Xenopus tropicalis: one gene and its partners. The protein of the gene in region 4 purifies or fractionates together with the protein of the main gene of each other region. This does not show direct contact. Links are inferred from orthologs where the notes say so. Each region holds a gene or a part of one and is shown on either strand. Other genes may lie near its edges.

Region 1 (3,418 bases), on a different chromosome or scaffold from region 4:
GGAGGGGTTGCAGTACACCGTGAGCCTAAGGGACATTTGGGAAGTGGTTTTATTTCTTGCTTTCTTTTAGTATGTGCAATTAGCCGTCTGTATATATTTATTCCGGCCCCTTTACATGGGACACTCACTCAGTAACTGTTTGGCATAGTTGTTCCATAGCAACTCACACCCATCCCCAGATGCAAAAGAAAGGCAAAAAGCAAGAAGGTCTAGCAGACGAACAGGGGGAACCTTACCCGCTTCCCATTACTCACCCCAAACCCTGAGGGAGTCTGCCCTACATACTAGGACTATGCCCAAATAATGCCAATAGCATAACTCTGGGGATCAGCATGCATTAAAGGAAGAGGAAACAAAACCGGCCACAATCATGACAGACCCGCGTTTTTTTTTCTTGTCTATTTATGAAGACTCAGCATTTTTATTCGGGTTCATCTCCCCCAAAAAAACAGTAAAAAAAAATCCATACAAAAAAAAAAAAAAAAAATAAGAAACAGAGCGAGGTATTCCATCTTGGGTTTAATTTATAACGGTTTGAAATCCAGTGACACTGACACACATACATACAGCTACCGCCGCCAGCCCCGCCCCTCCCTGTGCAGCAACATGAGGGAGGGGGAGGGGGACGGGACGCTGGGCTTGATTTTGACCTGTTTTTTGTAAAATACAGTACTAAAAGGGTGGATTGCTAACAGCATGCATCCACGGGGCCGACACTACAGTGATTCCATACTGTAACGCAAACAGTACTGCCGTAAAAAAAAAAATAATATATATTCATATAGAATCAGAAGTCGATCCTTTTAACCTATCCTGAGAGGCCGAGCAGTCGGGCCCGATACTTAATGCGTTTGCCTTGCTACAGACGGGCGCGTCCCTACATCTCATCGTTTATATAAATATGGAAGAATTTACTTTGTACAGCTCACTACATTTCTGGCTACCCGTTAGCGACCTACCGAAAGGAAGGGGTTCCGAGGAGGGAGGGGTGGGGTTTAGGGGGGGGTGCGTGGTACTTCAGGGGTTGGAGTCGGCGTTCCAGTGGCACGCTGTGGAATGAGACGTGAGGGGGCTTGAAGGAATGTTACGAGATTCTACTTCAGTCGTCTTCGCTTCCGCTCCCTGAGCGCTCCTACAAGACAAAAGCATGTTGAATATTTAAAACCCAGTGTCATACAGGCTATAGGTTTCCTGCGCTTTGCCCATTAAAGGGGAACTAAGCCCATATATAAAATATGTAAACTTATTTCAATTGGTCCTCTTCTGTAATTTACATTCAGTTTTAGTGGTTTGAGGGATTAGCAGTTTTAGGCTGCCAATATCAGATTTAAAAGAAAGATAAGCAGAAAGCCCAGTATTGCAGCCTAAAAATGCTAGTATCTCAGAAACTACTGAATATAAAAAAATAAATAGGGACACCAGCTCTCTCCTCCCTAAAAACCCCTTCTGCCTTATGAGACTACCACTAGACAGATGTAACCAGCAGATCTGCTGACTAAGGAAAGAGAAGCAGGGAGACTGGAACTTACATTGGCCTCTTCTTGTTCTTCCTCGCTATCATCATCGCTGATCACCGGCTTGGCTCTGCACCCTCGGCCGGTCCGCCTGCGTCCCTTCATCCTCTCCTGCCCCTTCTCCTTGCGACCCAGTTTAATCTTCACCTTCACGGAGCGAGCTGTTGGAGAGAACATTGGAACAGGAGTTATAGAATTACTTCCCCTATAAAGTCAAAATGACAACGCGGACAACATGGCGGTGTCGGCGTACTCACACTCAGACTCTGAGCCTTCTTCTTCCACGTCCTCCTCTTCCTCACTCTCCTCTCCCTCGCTCTCCTCTTCCTTCTCGATCTTCTGTCTCACACTGGTGAACACGGACTGGAGCACAATCGAGTCTTCATAGATCTGTAAAAAGAAAATGGACACCCATCATTTATCTAGCATTGCCATCAACCACTTGCTGGGACAAACATTACTTCTGTTTAACCCCATAACTGCCAAGCAATACAGAATTTATGCTGCTGCTGCTGCTGCAAAAAAAAAAAGGTTCCAGAGTGGCGGCAGCGTAGGTTCTACATTTACACACCCTTCAGCGACCAATGAAAGGATGTAAAAAGGTCAGTACTGCTTACCAAGGAGCCCTCCAGGTTGAAGGTCTGAGCATTCTGACACAGCAGCATGACGTCTTTCTCCAGATCATTTAGGCTGCGGTACTTATGGTTTCGGATCCTCTCCTGCAGAAACACAAGGGAGCTTTGGGTCAGATTGCTGATCACATGGTACTGGGAAGGTGAACATGACATCAGAAAGCACCGGCACTCACCTTGATCTTCCTGAAGTCCACTGGCTTACGGATCAGCTCGTAGTACTCAGGGAGTTCCTTACGGGATGGCAGTTGGATAAAAACTTCACTTAGCTGGCGCCCGTTTCCACTGAAAGACAGAAATACACATATGAGCTAGGGAACTATGGGCAACGGACTATGCAGCAGTTTATGCAGCAGTCAGGGGTCTCCTCACCTGTCTTTGTACTTAATGACGGCATCCACAATCTTCTTCATTTTCTTTGTGAGTTTTGGGGGGTTTGGGGAAAGTTTCTCGGCAGGGGGCCGCCCCCTCTTCTTCTGTTTCTTACCCTCGTCATCCCTCTCCCTGCCCCGTGTGCTTGTGGTGGGCATGACTATGCAAGGGTCTATATCTCTCTTCCTCTTGCGAGTGGTTTTCTTCTGGCGCACTTCTTCCTCAATCTCTTCTAGAGTGCCCTCTTCTATGGCCTGCGGGGAGTCAAAAAGGCACGTGAGAACCAATACACAGGGTCACACATGCTTCTCTTTCCATAGAGTGCATCTTATCTAGTACCTTCAGCCACTGCTTTTCCGTGAGCGAGTCACTATAATCCACCTCCTTGCGGTTACGGGAGCCGCGGCCAAACATCTTTTCTTCTTCTTCTTCGCAAGTAAGGCGCTCAACCTCGGCGTCGTCCTTAATGATCCAGGACGGCAGCTCATCTTCCTCCATGAGGCGAGGTTTGCGTTTGGGATTACGGGCTTCCTCTCTTCGCCTGTCCAGATCCATACGCTGGGAGGGGGAAAAACCACCAGCAGTTTGTATTAAAGGAAACATGCCAAAAGCAACATATAGAACTATTTCCATTACTTAGATAATAGTCTGAAGTTCCATATGCAAACTTATGTCCCTCTGCTGCTTGGGAATCCCACAGAATAATATTTGAAACAAATACAGATTCTTCCAATTGCCCTAAAGAAAATCAGCATAAGCCCCCATGTGTAATATAAGGCACTAAGTTTGCCCAGGAGCAGTAACCAATAAAATGCTTTTAAACAGGTGACCAGTAAATTCAACCTGCCGATTGGTTGCTATGGCTTACCAACATAATGCCTTTCATTACATAACCCCAAA
Region 2 (3,500 bases), on a different chromosome or scaffold from region 4:
GGAGGGGTGAGCGACCTTGGGGTGGACCACGGAGAAATCTGGGCCTGGGTGTGCATAAAGAGTTTTTGAGTGAACACCCGCCAAAAAGGTTTTTTTAAAAAAGAGCACATGGTTTTAAAAAATTTATACGAATGAAGAATTTTTTTTGCACTCGCCCAAAAAATCCTTATTGCCACCCGGGGACTCGGGACACGGTTTTCCTTGCCGTTAAGCTACTGCAGTTGCAGCTATGGTTCCTAGACTATAAACAGTACTGAAAAAGGTTGGTCTTACTGAGAGATGGCAATGCTAGGGTTTTTTTAATACAGCAATGTCATATTCCGTATCTTTACCAAGTTTATACATCATTCACAACAGTACCTGCCCCAGTGGAGCTTACAGTCTAAAGTCCCAATCACATTCACACACACACTAGGGATAGTCGTATCATGACAACTGCCAGGATGTTATTTTGTAATGCTACACCAGTCTAGAAAAAATGATTTTTAATTAGTCACATGAGACTAAAAAAAAACCCCAAATTGTTGTAGAAAAATGGGGCATAATATCCATTTGCATGAGCCAGTGATTTGCCAGGGACTGAGAAAAGACAAGGCAGTCTCCCAGACAGTAGGTTAATATCTGGCAAGAGATGATATGCATACCTACTGGCTGCAGTCTGAGGCGCACACTATAAAGTAAACAAAGGAGAGGTTATTAGAGGTTAAGTGCAGTGCATTTCTCAGAGTGAGCAGCCAGCACCACGCTGGGAAGATAATTTACACAGCATGAACCTACTGGCCTAATTCTGGCTGAGGTAGAGGGATAGGGTGGGGTGGGAGGAAATTGCAAGCGCCCAAACACGTCACTAGTTTTGCTCTGAGCAGAGGTCAGAATGAGGACATCTTTGTTTACTAAAGCAGGGAAGCCCATGAACAACCCCCTCCCTCCTCTGTGGGGATTCCCTGTTGGCTTCTGGACAGATTCTGTGACATCACCTGTCAGCTAATAATAGCAAAATCAGCCCGTTTCATGCCTGCAAAGATTAATGGTTTTTGTAAGCTTGCTGATTAGGGCCAGGCTCTCAGCTGTGCTTGGATTGGTCTCTTTTATTCCCTTTTCTGAAAGCCTACTCAGTGGAATTCGCTTTGATGACTGGGCTTATATCTCTGAAGCGAGGCTATTATTTATGTAGGAAAATGCTATGGCAACTTTGCAAATGTAAAAATGGAAAGATTTACTGGGTTTTTGACATGGACCCATTTGTATGGAATACAGATAAGCGGTGAGGATCTGTAAATTAGTAAATGTAGAAACTGTGCATCTACGTCACACCCTGCCTTCTGAGTGTCCATAGTGGGGTTTCCAAATGCAGTGGTGTCTAATAGCATTAAAGGATCGCTGTCATGGGAAAACATCAGTTAATAGAGCTTCTCCAACAGAATCCTGCATTGAAATTCGTTTTTCAAAAACACAAAGATTTTTTTATTTTTAATTTCACATAAGTCTAGCCATATTCTTCATTTCCCAGAGTGCCACAACGATGTGCTCTGATAAATTTCAGTCACACTTTACTGCTGAGCTGCAAGTTGGAGTGATATCACCCCCTCCCCCCAGCAGCCAATCAGCAGAACAATAGGAAGGTAGCAAGATAGCAGCTCCCTGGCACCTGTATTGCTAAAAGTGGTAGATATCAGAACAGCACTCAATAGTAAGAAATCCAAGTCCGGCTTGCAGCTCCCCCAGTTACATGGGAATAGAAGAAACAAAAGGTTATCTGAAAGCAGTTCTAATGTGTAGAGCTGGCTCCTTCTGAAAGCTCAGACTCAGCCTACACACCAATATTACAACTAAAAAAAATAATATATAATATATGAATAGTACCATAAAAATCATGACAGAATCCGTTTAAATGCTCTCCCAAATTCATTTCAGCTTGCAAAATCGCGATTTCGTCTTCATTTATACACTGCTGAAATTGAACTGGGTTAGGCATGGGCACATGGATTAACAGTAGGTGGGTGGGTCTGAAAGGTGTGGGGCAGCGAATTGGGGCTAGGGTGCTGTGCTTTGTTGTTTAATTGGTCAGGCCTAACCTGCAGATATCTTGGCAGTGGGAGATGAATAAGTAGACCTTTTTAAACATACAGTATCACACTTTTGAGTGCTCTATTGAGTTGCATATTACATTATAGGTAAAGTAGCATTGTACGTAGAAGCTGTGTTGGTGCACAACTAATACTCTCTCAGAAGTAAGTGGTTGCAAATGTGAAATAGATAATCTTGAAGCTACACCCTGCTTACTTTAGTGTCCTAGATTGGTACTTTAGGCTTTTTAAGTGTTTTATCTTTTGATCATCCCCTCAGCGATGTGCCTTTTAGGATTGTGAATAAATATAACTTTTTTTTTTTTTTTATAAGTGCACTAAAATCTTAAACTTATAAATACTCACCAAACCAGGATGAGCATCATTCGATGTGTGGGTTGCCAGACATAGCTCTGAAGATGACACACTATAGATGAAACCATATTCAGGCAAACTATTTGTAGGCTGTAGAACATAGGAGCTATCGCTCACGCTTTTTTAGAAATTTTTTTTTTTTTTTTCATTTTTTAATTTAACATTTTCTGTCAGCTCAATATTATGTTGTGTGTGCACAGGTCAGAATTTGTGTGTAAACAAGTGCACAGGTCAGACTTTGTGTGTAAACAAGAGCACAGCTTAGAGGGATAGTGGTGGAATGAAAATAAAGGTATGGTCATGGCCCAAGACAAAATGGAACAGCAAAAGCACTTCCACGCCATGATCCAATCGATCATCAGTCTGTTGTCCATATCCATGTTAATAACTTCACACTGAAGTGAACCATAATCATTTAGATGCATTTAGCATATCAATTTCATCAAGAAACTGTGCTGATTTATGCAGTAAATTCCTTGCTTACAGTGGATCCCTGAACAGACCTTTAATTGGCATCTGATTGTACCAATTAATTCCTAAAATCCTCCATAAAACACATGAATTGAGAAGAAGTGGGACAATGAACAGCTTTTACGCTCAAGATAACTGAACCAGACTACATTTTTGTTGTTTTCTTGCTAAAAAAATGTTTTGTTTTTCAAAAAATGCCCAGCCATATATTCCTGTCATGGGGTGGGTAGAGGTTTCATGGGAATTATAACTGGACATGATTTCAGCTGCTGCTGTGGCACTTGAGGTAGAACTGGATGCATTCCTTTTGCTTACCAGGAGATGGCGGCTGAATCTTAGGCTGCTTCTTTGACTCTCCAGGATTGAAAATCTCTGGAGGTGGCTCCTCCCCTCTCTCAATCTTGCATTCAAAGGCAAACAGATACTGTATGTACTGCTTTTTCAAGGAGCTGGCTGCACTGCTAGAGGTGCCAACATTCAGATTGCTTGACAGCTCTCGCCACTTCTTGTTTTTATTAACCTACAATAAAAAGAACATTATTGCGGTTAAGCACATGGTTCTGTAATCAGCAGAGGGGGTAAGGAAGA
Region 3 (2,705 bases), on a different chromosome or scaffold from region 4:
TTTAAAGGAACAGTAACACCAAAAAATGAAAGTATTTTAAAGTAATTGAAATATAACATACTGTTGCCCTGCACTGGTAAAACTCGTGTGTTTGCTTCAGGAACACTACTTTAATTTATATAAATAGGCTGCTGTGTAGCCACGGGGGCAGCAATTCAAGCTGAAAAAAGAAGAAAAGGCACAGGTTACATAGCAGATAACAGATAAGACACCATTGTATTCTACAGGGTTTATTTGTTAGCTGTGCCTTTTCTTCTTTTGAATGGCTGCCCCCATGGCTACACACCAGGGTTTATATCAACTCTAGTAATGTTTCTGAAGCAAACACACAATTTTTACCAGTGCAGGGCAGCAGTACATTATAGTTTAATTTCTTTAAAATATATACATTTTTTGGTGTTACTGTTCCTTTAAGACAGGACTGCTGCTATTTCAAGAAAAGGGATGGAGACCATTTAATGACACTGGTCTATGCAAGTGTACAATAAGTGAGTAAAGATTAGTGATTTTTTCTTTAATTTAAATTCCTATAGCATATTCCCCCTTTTTACCAAACATTACCTATTTTTTTCAAGACGCATAAAAACTTGTGTCCATTTAATTTCATTATTGCAAATAAAAAAAAAAATTGCATGTTGTCTTTCTGTATCTGTTTCCTTTGTTCCCTAGCGCTAAGTTGCATAGCTAGAAGGCTTCTCTTGTTATTCATTTGGATCAGTTTAACATTTTCTGAGTATGTAAACCTTTATCTGACGTGGCTCTTTTATCAGAGTCACAATTAATGTTCTGATATCCTGTACTTCACACACAAACAAATGTTTTTCCTCCTCATCAGCCACTCCAGCTGTGTCTTCTGCTTAGTGCTGGTTATGAGATAGTCATGAAAAAAAGGGTCTGCTTTTAACTGACTTTAAAATGAAATTTGTTTTGCTTGCCAACTGTATAATTCTAGGGCAAATGTTTAGTACTTATAGGATTTCCCAATGTGGCTATGAAACTTTGTGCCTTTCTATATGGTTTCTATGCTTTTAAAACTCCCATTAATAGTCATGTCCTTCTCACATTATTTTCTTGTTTCAGTGAAAACCCACTGCCGACAGTAGAGATTGCTATTCGAAATACAGGCGATGCTGACCAGTGGTGCCCCCTCCTGGAGACCCTCACTGATGCCGAAATGGAGAAGAAGATCCGGGACCAGGACCGGAACACCAGGTGCCACCGCCGTTTCATACGCTTTTCCTTCCGGGCTTCCCGCCGGGGTAGAATATAGACAACAAGGTGGAACTTCCTCGGAGCATCTGCGAGGAAAACTTTCCAGCTTATGCGCACCAGCCTATGACGTGATGTGTCTTTATCTGTGTCTGTGCTGTCGTTGCTTCAGCCGATGGAGCTGCACTTTTAATCGTTATCGCACTTTGCAAGTGATGTGTTGGTATTTAATCTGACTTTAGCTGGTGGGATTGGACATTTCTCCCAGTGCTCGCCTTTAGCTTAGTAGCACCATCTGTTGCCAATTTTGCCAGTTTTTGTCTTTTTAGGAAATTCTCTCTTTTTATTCTTTTAGCCCTAATTGGCCTTAGTGCCCAATGTACTTATATAGCTCTCCAAATTTCTGCTCCCTTGTCTCACATTGAGATAAACTTGACATTCTCCAGTATTCTTTTCTGCCAGTGGAACATGCAAAACACTTCATTTAAGATCCCAACAGCCGTAGGGTATATCCCTATTTAAAACAAGTGGCCACAGCAGAACCATGTATGTTAATTAGCAGCTTGAATTCCATAGGTAGCTTTAGTGTTCTTTATATTGTCCAGCAATATCTAAAATCTGGTGCCAAAACAATTGTTGTTGTCTTGTTAAACTAGATAGAATTTTGCTTTATATGGTAAGCTTAATAAGTATACCTTTACCTGTAGAGAATAGTTATGCTGATGCATGTTTCAGGCCAAATATTTCCCTATTTTATGCAGAGTTGGTGGCTTTATGAAATACATATTTGCAGTATTATTGTAAGTTTGTGACATTTCTTCTCCACTGCATATGACAGTGTAGCTGCAGTATTATTGTTTCCTTGGAGGGTAAGGAACACTGTACAGGTTGGAAGAATATTCCACGTTGGGGTGATTATTTAAAAAGTTATTTGAACCCACCAGAACTGGCAATGAAAACTTCTGTCTATGTATTTTGTTGGCTTTATTAATTGATAAGAGAGCCAATCCCAAAGAATAGTTCTACACAGTTCTATGTATTAAATGTCATCCGCACTTTATTTTGTAATTTGTTTATGGCCTTTGCTTTTAAATAACTTTTGGACTGCCCAAGTCCTGTAACACCATTCAGAGTAATGCGGGACATACTCTGGGTAGGCTGAATTCTGCACTTTTTGGTACACAGTCTCTTTTAAAGGGTGAAGTTATGTGTTTAGTGGGCTTGACGCTAACAATTAATAATGTTTGTCATGTCTGTTCCTGACCTTTGTTGTCTTGTGAATAATTAGCCTATTTTTAGATACAGATTTTAATGAGGTGTTGTCACCAGTTAGTATTTTCTTTGCTGACATTAGCAAAATAGATATTAATAACGCAATTTACATGGACTAGATTTTCAACAGTATCCCAGTATTGTCTTTCATTATTGTCATGTTTATTCAGACAAGGTTTCTTTAAATGTCATAGTGAAGTTAGTCTGTTTTTAAACAATGGCTT
Region 4 (3,429 bases):
CTCCAGAACATCTCAGTCCCTACTATACTCCCCCAGAACATCTCAGTCCCTACTATACTGCCCCAGAACATCTCAATTCCTTCTATACACCTCCAGAACATCTCAGTCCCTACTATACTCCCCCAGAACATCTCAGTCCCTACTATACACCCCCAGAACATCTCAATTCCTTCTATACACCTCCAGAACATCTCAGTCCCTACTATACTCCCCCAGAACATCTCAGTCCTTGGTATAAACCTCCCTGCAGAACATCTAATTACTTGCAATAAACTTAGAGACCACCTTATTCCTTGCTGAAAACCTGCAGAGCACATTTCTCCTTACTATAAACCCCCTGCTAATATCTCTGTCCCACCCAAATGATCCCCTTCTGCAGGAGAAGCCTGGGGCCCAGACTCCCACAGACCAACAGAAGCGCAGAGCACAGAGGCGCAGGAAGAGCCAGGCTCTGCTAATGATGGAGATCAATGGTGAGAGAAGTGCTGGGATTGGGCAGCTCAGAATGGGAATGGTCACATGTTACTGGGTAAATGCCACCTGGGCAGGTGCTTTATTGGCCTTTTTCTTCTACCACCATTTACATTTCTGTAAATTATTATTTAGGATACACGTGTGCCAGTAAGTCAGGGAATCATGTGACATCACTAAGTGCCAGTTAGAAGTGATGACATCACTAAGGATTATTTATGAGGAAGTAATTTACAGGGTATTTATTGGTTAATATAAAAGCATAACGGGTGCCTCTGTGCCAATTAGATGACAGCAATAACAGTTCCTTCTCGGATGCCTCTGGGGCGAGGGGCGAGGGAAGCGACAGCCCAAGTCGGACCCCCGAACTGAGCCGCAATGTCAGTCCCTGCCCCTCATCCAAGCCAAAGACTGAGGACTTCCAGCCCCCTGAGTTGGGCCAAGAAGGGGGTAAGAACCATAGAGATGACTTCTGGGTGGGGCTGAGGGGCAGAATAGGGACAGGGTGGGACTGATTGGTTTATTTGTATGTACAGATGGTGCCCCCCTGCTCCCCATCAGAACAGATGAACCCCCAATGTTAACCAAAGAGGAGCCGGTGGCTGAAACCCCTGCAGCCCAGGTGAGTGACATGTTGGGACCTTGGGTGGCACTGAGGGGCTTCCAACTGAATCTACAGCTGATTGGAGGGTTGCCTGGCAGTCGTTATGTGGCACTTAGTGTCCTACTAGGGATTCAATAGAATCTTAAATTCTCCCTTCCCCCCAGGTACCCAGCGCTGCCGCCATGTTCCCGCCTCTGACAGAGGAGGAGGAGTCTCTGGACGCCCCGGCACTAAAGAGATTCTGTACAGACCGAGACATAATGGGCAGATAATCCTCACAGGCTGGCGGCCATCTTACTACTCCTCTCGCATCTTTTCCCGCCTTCTATTCTCTCCACAAAACCAGCTTTTCCCTGTGGAAAGATGAACAAGTGCGTCTGACTGTAACCCGGAAAGTGACCCCGGGACCCCGAGCCCCCATAACAGTGAATTCCATCGCCTGTAGAGAATCAGTCCTGTTGGCCATTTTGTTTCGCTTCATGCCCCAAGCTCCAATGGCTGCCGCTCTCTCTGGGGGTTGCGACTGCTGCACAATTGTATCACTGCAGCCTCTGGTATCCACCATTATATACTCCTCTTGTGGGGAGTGTCATGTTGCCAGGACACGCCCCTCTCTTACACCCTAGCAACCAGGCTGCAGTTTCAAATCCAAAGCGGAGAAATGCAGAAAAATGTATAAAATATACAATTTTCCAATTTATATTTGTCTTTCTGTACGAAGTATAAATGTCAGTATTATATATTATAATATCCATGTCATGCTGATGGAATCTGCAGCGCTATATAAATATATACTTACACCAATACATTTAATTCTACTGACAGACTGCGCTCCTGGGCCCTGGCACTTGTGGCCCCTGATTGGCCGGATTTTGCCCTTATACACAGTGGCGTTTTATAAGGAGAATCTCCCAACCGTTGTCATACATTCTTTTGCACTTCCAAATCCAACCACCAGATGTCGCACCTTAGTGTATGGATAGGAATGAGTAAAAAGCAAAGGAAGCATCGCCATCTAATGGACGAAAGTGGAAATACATCTATTGGGCGATTTCTCATTATTAGCGTTGTTGCTGCATGTTTATTCACTTGTAAATGTAAAGTCCCTTTATCTCTCCAATATATAAAATACCCAGAAACCCTCCCGGGACTCTACTCTATTTTGTCTAGACAGCTGCCCCAGGATTGAGCATGTGTCTCAACCCCTTCTCCTTGTAGAGTGTAAGCTCTTTTGGGCAGGGCTCCCTTCCCCTCTTGTATCGGTTACTGATTGCTTTATATGTTACTCCTTGTAGAGTGTAAGCTCTTTTGGGCAGGGCTCTCTTCCCCTCCTGTATCGGTTATTGATTGCTTTATATGTTACTCCTTGTAGAGTGTAAGCTCTTTTGGGCAGGGCTCCCTTCCCCTCCTGTATCGGTTACTGATTGCTTTATATGTTACTCCTTGTAGAGTGTAAGCTCTTTTGGACAGGGCTCCCTTCCCCTCTTGTATCGGTTACTGATTGCTTTATATGTTACTCTGTATGCCCAATGTATGGAACCCACTTATTGTACAGCGCTGCGGGGTATGTTGGCGCTTTATAAATAAATGTTAATAATAATAATGTTGCAGACTACACCAATTCCCAAGCAGCCATGGCTCATGTATCTAAACTAATTACTAATGAGCTCTGAGCAGCGAATTGGCTTTGCATCTGTGTAGATAATAAGTAATAAAGTGGTCGGGTAACACTGTCCAATCAGGGGTTGCACCATAAAACCGGGCAAATGTTAAATACATTTATTCCCATTCATTCCTAATAATGCAGGGCAGCCCTGGGCACTGCAGGGTTAAACTGGGAACAAATTAAACACATTGGGTTCATTTTCTGTCTTTTTATTTGTTACAAAATAATCGATTTCCAGTGAAAAGTCGAATCTTTATCACGTACAAAACAGTATAAAACAATGGGTGCAACAGGGAGCCGGTCCCACCCACAAGGAACAGGGATGAGCCAAAGGGCATCGTTGTATGGAATTGCCCACAGATCTGGGGAAACTGGGCTGAAGAGCTGACAATCAGATTGCATGTGAGTGGGGATGAGAAACTATCATTGTCGATTACCGATCCCCCCCCCGCAGGCCCAGTGTGGGGGTCTGTGCAATTCAATCTGTAGGGAAAGAAAACAAATGATCAGGGAATGTTCCATCTCATCCCTCCTCTTATCTAGATTCGGTATTTGGCACAACCCCGAAACCTTCATGAAAGTTTCAGCCGAATCCGAATCTGCATCCGATAATAGTGGATTCAGTGCATCCCTAGTTACGACCCCATCATAGACTTCACACTGCTTATTGTCAGTCTAAATATTAGGG
Region 5 (2,586 bases), on a different chromosome or scaffold from region 4:
ATATGTATATATCTCGTTGCAGCAAAAGCTGCAGCCTTGCAGGATCAAGCACTTTTTATACAGGAGGATCCATAAAAGGATGAATTATTCTGTAAGAGGATGAATTATTCTTTTCCTAAAAGGCTCATATATATTGACTGCACTGCTGCCAAGGGAAATCTTTGTCTCATTAAATGGTGACTGAAAGACATAAAAGCCCCTTCAAAATGACTGTAATTTTAATTTGCATTAAGTGAGATCTTAACCATTATTGTAAATTATGTTAAAAAAAAAAAAAAAGGGGGAGAAATGGCAGCATGAAACCCTGGAAAAGAGCTTGTTCGTACCTTGGAGTAGAAATACCGGCACACAGCCTCCTGAGCCCATGGCTGGAAGTAAAACTCAGCTCGGCGTTCTTCTTCAGGATTACCTACCACATCAGTCATTGTCTAATGGGAAAAGAGGCAACAGAACGGTTACAACATGGTCAGAAATTTCATTCACATGACAAATATTTAATCCTATAAGTACTCACTTTGAGGTCCCGGCACTGTGACTGTAACCAGTCATTAATAAATCCTTGAGGGTCACGGGCAAAGCTCAACATAAATTCCCTCTGAATTTTCAACTGATTAATAGTTTCAATTGTTTCGTGAATCTGTTAAAAAGAGAAAAAAAAAAAAAGATTTTACAGACAATATCTATAACTGTACAGGATACAGAGTGAACAATTATTACTGTGCTCCTGTTAGGAGAAAACTGCACCAGCTGGGGTTAACATTCTATGACGTAGAGAGTAATATTCTGAGAATTTGCAATTAGTGCTTTTTTTTAATTTAACTTTTTGTTCAGCAACTCTCCGATTTGGAAAGTAGTTATTTGGCTGTTGGGGTTCAAATGATCTTAGCAACCAGGGGGCGGTTTATATGAGAGACAGGTATATAAACAGGAGAGGGCCTGGATAGAAAGAAACATAAGTAATAAAAAGGAACTATAACAATAAAATTGTAGCCTCATGGTGCATCAGGTTTTTGGCTGTTGGAGTGACCCCCATTTGAAAACTAGAATGTGTCAGAAGAAAAAAATAAAGACCAAGTGAAAAGTTACTTAGAATTGGCCATTCTGTATTAAAAGTTACCCTTAAAGGTGAACAACCCCTTTAAGCTACCAGCTCTGGCCTACTTTCAGGCTGCACTTTATTAAAAAAAAAAAAAGTTGTGGGAGGCCTTAAGCTGGGCATAGACTAAAAGATCTGCTTATTTGTCGAGATCACCAATTAGAACACCTGCATGCCCCACCAATATCTCTTTGATAGTTTGGTCCCTTGAGGCCTCGTAGGTTTGGGCAGGCCTGCACCAAATATGACCCACTTAAGACTCAACATGGCCCAGGGCCACTCCTGCAAGTCTCCCCTCACCTGAACAGCTCAGATGTCTGATAGCAATTTCATCCCTGGCCCTCCACCTACCCAACAGCAGCCAAATACCCTAACCAAGCAAACAAGTTTGTGTTGAAAATGCATCCCCAGCCTTTGCTTTATTCAGCACCCACTACCCACTCTACTCAATGCATAAGGGAAGCCATGTTGTGTATATTCCAGCTCAAAGCATTTATCTCTCACCTTGTTATCTAGAGCAGCTATCTCCTGCTGACTGGCAGTGGACAACAGGAAGGAGTTCATCTGAGTTTTTAGGGTATCATCAACTTCTACATCAATGTCATAACAAGCAGTTTTCTTCTGATCATTAGGGTCAACGCTAATTAAAACAGAACAAAGTCAGGGTGATTTTGTAACTAGGATCACAGACTAGTATCTAACAGAACTACATCTTACCTAATGACATGATTGATTATAATTGGTTCTGGAGGCATGAGGAGGGCATGCAATCTCTGTGGGATCTCTGAAAACTTCATCCTTTGAGACTCAAATATCTGGAGGATGGAAGGAAAAAAAAAAACATTTTGTTGCTGATGAAAAGGTGTATGGAAAATTGTTTATATTCTGCTACTGCACATGCAGCACTATAGATTTTTATAATACAATAGTACAAACAGGGTCAACACATACTGTGATATATACAATATTTGCCATATGAACTTTGTTACTGTATTTTTTTTTAGAGACATAGGATACAAAGAGACAGGGAATTCAATAATGCCAAACAAGTATATGAGTTAAACAGCCTCCCTGGAACTGCATGGGTGTCCACTTAGGGAATCAGAACAATTTGATTAGAAAGATGTAGCTATACAGGTGTGAACCATAATGTATACAACAGCCTACCCTGTGGGTCATCTAGTAAGATATTCCAAAAAATATGACCAGCATAAAGCCAACCAGGACTGATAACTCTTATTAATATGAAACATGCTTTATTACCTGATAACCTGTACTGGCTATCAGCATCCCAATTTTATTCCCAGAGAGCTTATTATGTTCTCCATCTATACTTTAGCTTATGGTTTGCTCATTAAAATACTACTGTACACTGTAGAGTCTCTAAGCATTTGGGTAGCTCCCATACAGACAAACATAATAACCTGAAGCAGATAGAGCCTGTAGTCTATTTTGCACCAGAAATTACTTGCATCAAATAATCCGCTTTT
Region 6 (4,052 bases), on a different chromosome or scaffold from region 4:
TACTCAGACATTTTTGGAGACTCCCATTGTCTGCAGTAACAGCCCAATATCTGCTCCCTGTAATTTTCACCTGAATCAACGTTAATCCCGCCACTGAAAAACACTGACCCAAACCTGACCTAAAACTGACTAAAACTAACTAAATATCCTCAGAAACTAGCAGCATAAGGTAGATCTGGAAGAATGGCAATGGTGTAATAGACATGGCATTGTCATGGCCTGGCCTAGATTCACCAAGAACAAAAAGCCACCAGACTAGCATCTCTGTAACATGGGCTTGTGGGGTTTATGCAGTGCATCAGAAGAATTGTGGATCAGCTAGGCAATGTAAACTGAAGAAAAGGGAGTGTACCATTTGTAAATGAGGCACTGTAGCTGTAGTATCTACAAGTAGAACCTTTACCGGCAACTTGAAGTAATTAGTTCTTGTAGAATGTTAACAATATTTCAGGGAGAAATGTTGTCCTACTCTTCCATATAGATCCATATTGATGTTTGAGGGTAGTTGGTTATGCATAGCTCTTTTATGGGTCCATCATAACATCTCCATGAGTTTGAGGTCTGGACTTTGCCATTCCAAAACACTAAGGGGTATATATATCATGCTGTGTAAAAAGTGGAGTGAAGTATTTCCGGTGATTGTTGCCCAGGGCAACCAATCAGCAATTAGATTTCAACAGTTAGAAAATCAAAGCAAAGCATCTGATTGGCTGCTATGAGCAACATCAGCGGCAATGTTTTACTCCACTTTTTACACAGCATGATAAATATATCCCATAGCCATTTAGGTGTAAATTTGTAGGTGTACTGTCAGATAGCACCACATTTTGCTCTATAATTCTCTGGTATGAAGAGAAATTCATAGTGGACTCATTGCCTGTGAAATGTGCAGGTTTTGTGTCTTGGCAGTTTGTATGAGGTTCTTGTGTTATGTTGTTTTTCATCTTGGAAAGACAGGATTTTGTGCATTAGGACAAACTATTAATTGTCCGGAGGATGATTTTTCCAGAAATCTTGTGATCCTTTCAGATACAACATAGTCAACCTAACTGTGTTGCCATTGCATTTTAGAGTAAATGGGCTTTCTCTTGGCTATGTGTTCATGAAATATTTTATCAGTCTTTTTCTAATATTTGGGTCATGAAACTTAAATGGGTTGTTCACCTTTGTACAACATACACAAGTCTAAAGGTGGCCATACACATTAAGATCTACTTGCTTGGCGAGGCCGCCAAGTGAGCGGATCTTTTCCCGATATCCCCACCTACAGGTGGGCAATATTGGGCAAATTTATGGGGGCCAAGCGATCGAATTATAACGATGGCAAAGGGCGCATTGGGTTCCGATGTGGTTCCCGATCCGACTAAATTTTCTAACCTGCCCAAACGATATCTGCCCAATTTCAGGCCAGATATCGGTCGGGCATGGCCGTCGTTGCTGCCCCTACACAGGCCAATAAGCTGCCGACGGCAGCTACAATCGGCCAATGTATGGGCACCTTAACAGTTCACATTAAGAGAACAATCTTTTCCATATACATGGTTAAAGGGGTGGTTCACCTTTAAGTTAACTCTTAGAATTTTACAGAATGCCCTATTCCTAGCAGCTCTGCAATTTGTTTATTTTTTATAGTTTTTGAATTATTTGCCTTTCTCATCTGCCTTATTCCAGCTTTTAAATGGGGGTCACTGATCCCAGCAGCCAAAAACGATTGCTCTGTGAGGCTACAATTTTATTATTATTGTTACTTTTTATTACTTATCTTTCTATGCAGGTCCTCTACTATTCATGTCCCCATCTCTTGTTTAAACCACTGCCTGGTTGCTAGGGTAAATAAGACCCTAGCAACCAGATAGCTGCTATAATACCAAATGGAGAGATGCTGAACAAAAAGCTAAATAACTGAAAAACCAATGATTGTCCAGATTGTCTCAGAATATCAATGTCTACAACATATTAAAAGTTAATTTAAAGGTGAACTACCCCTTTAACTGAAATAAAATGTATAAATATACAGTATAAGAGCATTCTTTCAGAAGCACACAGAGCTAATCCTAGGTAAAGGTGCAGATGCTATTAATTCTGCTGCCTCAGGTCTACACTGATAAAACAATGAGAATAATGTGGAGAATGAAACTGCTAAGTTGCTTGTCACCTCACTGAAACTTCATTGCCAAAAAGAAGAGAAAGGGGATGAGCAGCTGTAAAGCTCAGAGAACTAGAGCAGCCTGCAGCACTGCCTTCCCGGCTTTGATGCCCAAAGCAGATTTCCTTATGTTCTTACACTCCATGCCCCCTCCCTCTGTGCAGGGCACCATGCCAGGCTTTAAATGACTGCGTGTCCCTATTGTGACCCACAAGTAAAGGTCTGAAAACACCTTACTTAATGTGAAAGGGTTAAAGGACTGCTGAAAAACAAATAAACTGTCTGAAATGTGGAAGCTGCCAGAGACTACAAGGCAAACACAATACCCACCTGGGGAGGATGGGGTTAAGGCTGAGCAGATTAATAACAAAAGGTAAAGCAAGCCTTTCTTACCTTCACCCCTTACCGAAGAGCCAGAGCTTGAACCGCTGCTTTTAGTCCTTCTACTTCGCTTTATGTCCCTGTCCCTGCAGTCTGTCACCCTGACGGGATGAGGAGCGGATAATGCTGCTGCTGAGGTAACTGGTCAGTGCCACCTTTTGACCAACCCGTGCCCGCCTGTCAGTGCTGCAGACACGCCGTCACTCACAGGGGCTGCAACTCTCACTGGCAGCCGGGCCATGAGATCATTATCCGGATCATGGCCTCTTCCCCTCCTGCTCAATCCTTCTGCCAACTCCTCCTCCTCCCAATTCCTCCTTGGTTTTATTTTTAATCCTGCTGTCTGTAGTTTTCCTCTGCTTTGCCACTTCCTCCGTGAAGAGGGTGCCAAAACCACACCTCCTACATAGTTCAGCTGTGAACAACTGCACAGGCTATAGAGAAAGAGAGAGAACTCCTTCCAATAATCCCCCACAGCGCTCACTCTGCTGCCTTTGAGGGGGATGCTTGCAGGTGACTGGTGTAGGTGCCGGTATAAAGGTGCCACAAAATGACAAAATGAGGGAGCAGCACATTTGTTTTCACTCAGAATCTGACCATACATATCCACATTCTCACAACTCCTCTCTAAAGAGCATCTTTTTTATTTTAAACACAGTGGGGACAGGGCAGGTGCCATGGGTGCAGTGAATTGTGGGTGAAGGTGTCAGGCAGTTCCCCCTTTCATTATTGGCCAGTAGAGGATTACTAGAAGGTTTCAGGCTGTTCAGCCCATATCAGCCAGTAATATGAAATTATGAAATGAAGAAAGTTTATATATATATATCTATATATATATATATATATAAGTCAAGCTGTGTCCGCACTCTAAACCAGTTTAACTGGTGAGTGCTGAAGTCAAAATATGTAAATACCTATAAACAGGACCAGCACTTCATTTCACAGCAATTCTTCTATTTATTCATTCACCGTGTGTGTGTGTGTGTGTGTGTGTGTGTGAATGAATAAATAGAAGAATTGCAGTGAAATGGTGTGCTTGTCCTATATATATATATATATATATATATATATATATATGTAAAACCTAGCGTATATTGGTGCACACCGGGAATCATTTAAAACATAACTTTTATTAAATAGTTAATACATTAAAGATCAGTCTAACATTTCGGTCTGCATCTAAGACTTCCTCTTGATAAAAGTCTTAGATGCAGACCGAAACGTTAGCCTGATCTGTAATGTATTAACTATTTAATAAAAGTTATGTTTTAAATGATTCCCGGTGTGCACCAATATACACTATATTTTCTTTTTTTCAATGCTCAGTTGGTTGCACCCGGGTCCATTGACTACGCTCAGGAGTGCTGAATCCATGCGTGTTATATATCTATATATATATAAATATAATTATGGTATTTTTACAGACAAACCCTCCCTCTCATTAAAAAAGCAACAAATCTGGCGTGTGTTTTAGTAAGACGTTTTACATATTGAGGGACAGACAGGAGATGATCAGGGAGTGGCT
Region 7 (4,271 bases), on a different chromosome or scaffold from region 4:
GTCCTCATTACCTCATATTAATAGGTCACTATGGATCTTTATCTTAAAATTAGATTAAAAGGGCTGAAATTAAATGAGACTGAGAAAACCTGACAATCATAAAGGCCATTCAATTTAAAATTAAAAGTAGAGGTCAGTAGAATGCCCCACATCTGCCAGTGGTGACCTGTACTACAATGCACCGCATCTACCAATTGTGAACTGTTCTAGAGTGCACCACATTTGGAAGTGCTGACATGTTCTAGAATGCCTCACATCTGCCAGTGCTGACCTGTTCTAGAATGCACCACATTTGGAAGTGCGGACATGTTCTAGAATGCCCCACATCTGCCAGTGCTGACCTGTTCTAGAATGCACCACATTTGGAAGTGCGGACATGTTCTAGAATGCCCCACACTACCAATGGTGAACTATACTAGAATGCACCACACTACCAATGGTGAACTATACTAGAATGCACCACACTACCAATGGTGAACTATACTAGAATGCACCACACTACCAATGGTGAACTATACTAGAATGCACCACATCTACCAATGGTGAACTGTACAAGAATGCACCACATCTACCAATGGTATCAGGTGCCAGTGATGAACTATACTTGCATGTACCTCACTGACAGAGAGTGAACTTAACTGTGTTGTACCACACTGACTGGTGTTGAACTAGACCTGAACATACCACATTCCTAGGCAGTGAACTCTACCAGAATAGACCATCCTAAAGTGATCTATACCAGCATGCACAACACTGAAAGGCAGTGAATGATACCAGTTCAACCATACTCCAAACAACCAGTGATGAACTATACCAAACTGTACCACACTGATCAACAGCAAACTCGGACCATGCCATTTGCTGGTGAACTATACCAATATGTATGAAAATGAAAAATTAAAAAGGAGTGAACGATACCAGAACACACCACAGTGACATGCAGTGAAAAGACAATTATAAAGTGAAGTAGATTTAAATCAACTGATCAGTTGTTTACCATGATATGCACCATTGTATAAAATGTAGGATTACTATTATTATATTATTCTTGGAATGGTTACACAAGCCATCCTAGATTATCTAGGCCCTGCTTAGCAACCATCAAGGCCTTATCTATACTCTCCTCCTGCCTACCTGGGACCATAATGATGTGCACTGATTGTCACATGAAGATGTTATGTCTCATTTTTCACAATTACACAAAGAATTTAGAAAGATACTGGATGAAAGTGAAACATCCACAGTCTTTATTTACACCAACGACTTTACCTTTGGATTGTACAACTGCGATGCAATTCAATAGGTCACCTGAGCTGTAACTGAACATGACTGCTTCAGATCACAATTGCATCCGAAAAATGCTCTAGAAATATTAGATCAAGGGCCTGGTGTGCTACACAAGTCACAAATCAGTCAGCTCAACATTTAGTCGCATTTAGTCTGATTTGGAAACCAGAAGTAGCAGCTTGCCAGTAGCACAGTCAATGTGCAATTCTATAGATGCAAGCGTTCTGTGCACTAGTGCCTGACTTTGGATGCAGCTATGGCATATAAAACACAATCATGCTTCAGGCGTAAATCATTTTCATGCCATTGGATTCTGCTAGTCACATGCTACAAACGGGCATGTGATAGTCAGGCACTATTAACAGACCCAGCAACTTGGACCTACTGACTCTGCCCAATTAAAACTGGATAAACAATGTTCTAAATTCTAAATGAAGTGATCTAGCACAGGGAAGATGGAAATGCACAATACATTGCTATTGGAAATGGTTACCTGGTAAGGCCCCATTGGGGGTCTGTATGCTCCAGGGTTTGGTCCCCGCATCATGTTCATTGGGCTCCCAGATGGTAGAGGTAATCCTCCCCGAGAGGTCATGGAGTGTTAAACAGCAGACAGCACTACTGTGCACAGGTGAAGGAATGCTGTGTATATACAAGAGGGATATACTCTGTGTGAACAACCTCCTTCCTAATGAATCATATAATGTAGAATTCCTAATTATGCAGCCCTGCACTGCGTGCGTTGGCTAGTTGCGCAGCCCTGCACTGCGTGCGTTGGCTAGTTGCGCAGCCCCGCACTGTGTGCGTTGGCTAGTTGCGCAGCCCCGCACTGCGTGCGTTGGCTAGTTGCGCAGCCCCGCACTGCGTGCGTTGGCTAGTTGCGCAGCCCCGCACTGCGTGCATTGGCTAGTTGCGCAGCCCCGCACTGCGTGCGTTGGCTAGTTGCGCAGCCCCGCAAAGTGTGCGTTGGCTAGTTGCACAGCCTTGAACTGCATGTGTTGGCTAGTTGTGCAGTCTTGGCTGTGTGTGTTGGCTACTTGTGCAGCCCCGCAAAGTGTGTGTTGGCTAGTTTGTTTGCACTTTGACTTTTAAACAATTTTAACGATATATCTTCAATAAATTTTTGATAAAACATTGAAGGGTGTGCTGGCCACAGATGATTATTTTCTGTATATACATAATTTTGGCTATGCACCCCGCAGAATATTGAGCCTTGGAGTGCGGACACCATTTGGATTGATATATATATATATATATATATATATATACACACACGCACATTTTATACATAAATTGTGTGTATATATTTATCCTCTACGTGTTGCCCTATTCAGTTATACAAGCTTATAGAGTTCGTGTTAGTATCAGTACTATGCCTATCAGACTGTAGCCCTGTGTGCCCGTAGCAGTAACACGCGTGTAAGCCCGGCGCTAAGTACAGCACAAAGCCGCTATCCTACAGCTAGTCCAGCACTACTAACCGGATTCCCCAGTGAAACCCAGCGGGGTTCAGCCTCTCTCCGTATAATTGTGCCCGTACAGCTGCTCTCAATGCGCAATCCCTGCGCTGCGATCCTCCGGCTGTAGTTTCCCGGGGCGCAAACCGAGCGCTCAGCACTTTCCCCTTCCTGCTGCTGTCGGGCGGCTCATAGGAAGTTATTGGAAGGTTTTTCTGTTGGTGTCATCACTTCCAGAGAGCTGTTTTGCAACAAACCTCCTTTTCTCATCTCTGCCCTCCCACTGCCTTCCCTCCCCTCCCCTCCTCCTGTGTCTCTCCTCCCTCTGTTTCTCTTCCCCTCCTCCCCTTGTCATCTGCCCTTTCTCTTTCGTCTTTGCCAGCCCTCCTCTACCTGTACCCACCCCCTCTTACCCGTGCTCACTCTCCTTGCCTGCCCTCTCTTACTTGTACCCACCCTCTCTTACCTGCACTCCCTCTCTCTGCCTGCCCTCTCTCACCTGTATCCACCCTCTCTTACCTGCACTAACTGTCTCTGCCTGCCCTCTCTCACCTGTATCCACCCTCTCTTACCTGCACTAACTGTCTCTGCCTGCCCTCTCTCACCTGTATCCACCCTCTCTTACCCGCACTCCCTCTCTCTGCCTGCCCTCTCTTACCTGTACCCACCCTCTCTTACCCGCACTCCCTCTCTCTGCCTGCCCTCTCTCACCTGCACTAACTGTCTCTGCCTGCCCTCTCTTACTTGTACCCACCCTCTCTCACCTGTACCCACCCTCTCTTACCCGCACTCCCTCTCTCTGCCTGCCCTCTCTCACCTGTATCCACCCTCTCTTACTGTCTCTGCCTGCCCTCTCTCACCTGTACCCACCCTCTCTTAGCCACACTCATTCTCTCTGCCTGCCCTCTCTTACTGTCTCTGCCTGCCCTCTCTCACCTTTACCCACCCTCTCTTAGCCACACTCTCTCTGCCTGTCCTCTCTCACCTGTACCCACCCTCTCTTACCTGCACTAACTCTACCTGCCCTCTCTTACCTGCACTCACTCTCTCTACCTGCCCTCTCTTACCTGCACTCACTCTCTCTACCTGCCCTCTCTTACCTGCACTCACTCTCTCTGCCTGCCCTCCCTTACCTGTACTCACCCTCGCTGCCTTCCTGTCCTACCTGTGCCACCTTCTCTGTCAGCACTACTCTACTTGTGCCCACTCTGCCTTTTCCTACCAGTTCCACTCCCTTTGCCCTTCCCCTCTGTACCTGTGCCACCCCTGCCCTTTTCTATATGTGCACACCCTGCTACCCCAACCCTAGCTCTGCCTTGCCTTGCCTACCTGTGCCCATCCTCTCTCTGCCTCCTTCTACCTGTGCCTGCCCACTCTGCCATCTCCTTGCTGTACTCTCTACCTTCCAATGCCAACATTCTCTGCCTGCCTTTCTTTCCTTTTCCCACCCACTTTGCATACACTTTCTTACAACCACCCTCCTTATCTGCCTACCTGTACCCATACTGCCCTTTCCTACCTATGCCC

What was found.
Region 1: the proteins of bcl7c (region 4) and smarca4 purify together in Homo sapiens (affinity purification with mass spectrometry; 6 studies listed by BioGRID and IntAct, counting the BioPlex papers as one, with this or other methods). This does not show direct contact. The link is inferred for Xenopus tropicalis from reciprocal best matches to the Homo sapiens genes BCL7C and SMARCA4.
Region 2: the proteins of bcl7c (region 4) and arid1b purify together in Homo sapiens (affinity purification with mass spectrometry; 4 studies listed by BioGRID and IntAct, counting the BioPlex papers as one, with this or other methods). This does not show direct contact. The link is inferred for Xenopus tropicalis from reciprocal best matches to the Homo sapiens genes BCL7C and ARID1B.
Region 3: the proteins of bcl7c (region 4) and smarcb1 purify together in Homo sapiens (affinity purification with mass spectrometry; 7 studies listed by BioGRID and IntAct, counting the BioPlex papers as one, with this or other methods). This does not show direct contact. The link is inferred for Xenopus tropicalis from reciprocal best matches to the Homo sapiens genes BCL7C and SMARCB1.
Region 5: the proteins of bcl7c (region 4) and smarcd1 purify together in Homo sapiens (affinity purification with mass spectrometry; 5 studies listed by BioGRID and IntAct, counting the BioPlex papers as one, with this or other methods). This does not show direct contact. The link is inferred for Xenopus tropicalis from reciprocal best matches to the Homo sapiens genes BCL7C and SMARCD1.
Region 6: the proteins of bcl7c (region 4) and smarca2 purify together in Homo sapiens (affinity purification with mass spectrometry; 4 studies listed by BioGRID and IntAct, counting the BioPlex papers as one, with this or other methods). This does not show direct contact. The link is inferred for Xenopus tropicalis from reciprocal best matches to the Homo sapiens genes BCL7C and SMARCA2.
Region 7: the proteins of bcl7c (region 4) and smarcd2 purify together in Homo sapiens (affinity purification with mass spectrometry; 3 studies listed by BioGRID and IntAct, counting the BioPlex papers as one, with this or other methods). This does not show direct contact. The link is inferred for Xenopus tropicalis from reciprocal best matches to the Homo sapiens genes BCL7C and SMARCD2.

Annotation. Positions count from the first base shown.
Region 1 is NC_030679.2:138,931,042-138,934,459, reverse strand, and holds the end of smarca4 (transcription activator BRG1), read right to left. Parts: intron 3,077-3,418; coding exon 2,858-3,076; intron 2,773-2,857; coding exon 2,519-2,772; intron 2,432-2,518; coding exon 2,323-2,431; intron 2,234-2,322; coding exon 2,132-2,233; intron 1,905-2,131; coding exon 1,772-1,904; intron 1,676-1,771; coding exon 1,530-1,675; intron 1,133-1,529; coding exon 1,100-1,132; 3' UTR 501-1,099; downstream 1-500. UniProt on the Homo sapiens protein: ATPase involved in transcriptional activation and repression of select genes by chromatin remodeling (alteration of DNA-nucleosome topology).
Region 2 is NC_030681.2:52,290,117-52,293,616, reverse strand, and holds part of arid1b (AT-rich interactive domain-containing protein 1B), read right to left. Parts: intron 3,433-3,500; coding exon 3,228-3,432; intron 1-3,227. UniProt on the Homo sapiens protein: Involved in transcriptional activation and repression of select genes by chromatin remodeling (alteration of DNA-nucleosome topology).
Region 3 is NC_030677.2:153,151,373-153,154,077, reverse strand, and holds part of smarcb1 (SWI/SNF-related matrix-associated actin-dependent regulator of chromatin subfamily B member 1), read left to right. Parts: intron 1-1,080; coding exon 1,081-1,212; intron 1,213-2,705.
Region 4 is NC_030685.2:5,705,624-5,709,052, reverse strand, and holds the end of bcl7c (B-cell CLL/lymphoma 7 protein family member C), read left to right. Parts: intron 1-379; coding exon 380-473; intron 474-759; coding exon 760-921; intron 922-1,007; coding exon 1,008-1,093; intron 1,094-1,239; coding exon 1,240-1,347; 3' UTR 1,348-2,929; downstream 2,930-3,429. UniProt on the Homo sapiens protein: May play an anti-apoptotic role.
Region 5 is NC_030678.2:148,811,972-148,814,557, reverse strand, and holds part of smarcd1 (SWI/SNF-related matrix-associated actin-dependent regulator of chromatin subfamily D member 1), read right to left. Parts: intron 1,912-2,586; coding exon 1,814-1,911; intron 1,737-1,813; coding exon 1,601-1,736; intron 638-1,600; coding exon 515-637; intron 429-514; coding exon 327-428; intron 1-326. UniProt on the Homo sapiens protein: Involved in transcriptional activation and repression of select genes by chromatin remodeling (alteration of DNA-nucleosome topology).
Region 6 is NC_030677.2:128,296,838-128,300,889, forward strand, and holds the start of smarca2 (probable global transcription activator SNF2L2), read right to left. Parts: upstream 2,801-4,052; 5' UTR 2,540-2,800; intron 1-2,539. UniProt on the Homo sapiens protein: ATPase involved in transcriptional activation and repression of select genes by chromatin remodeling (alteration of DNA-nucleosome topology).
Region 7 is NC_030686.2:15,739,913-15,744,183, forward strand, and holds the start of smarcd2 (SWI/SNF-related matrix-associated actin-dependent regulator of chromatin subfamily D member 2), read right to left. Parts: upstream 2,801-4,271; 5' UTR 2,769-2,800; intron 1,930-2,768; 5' UTR 1,883-1,929; coding exon 1,781-1,882; intron 1-1,780. UniProt on the Homo sapiens protein: Involved in transcriptional activation and repression of select genes by chromatin remodeling (alteration of DNA-nucleosome topology).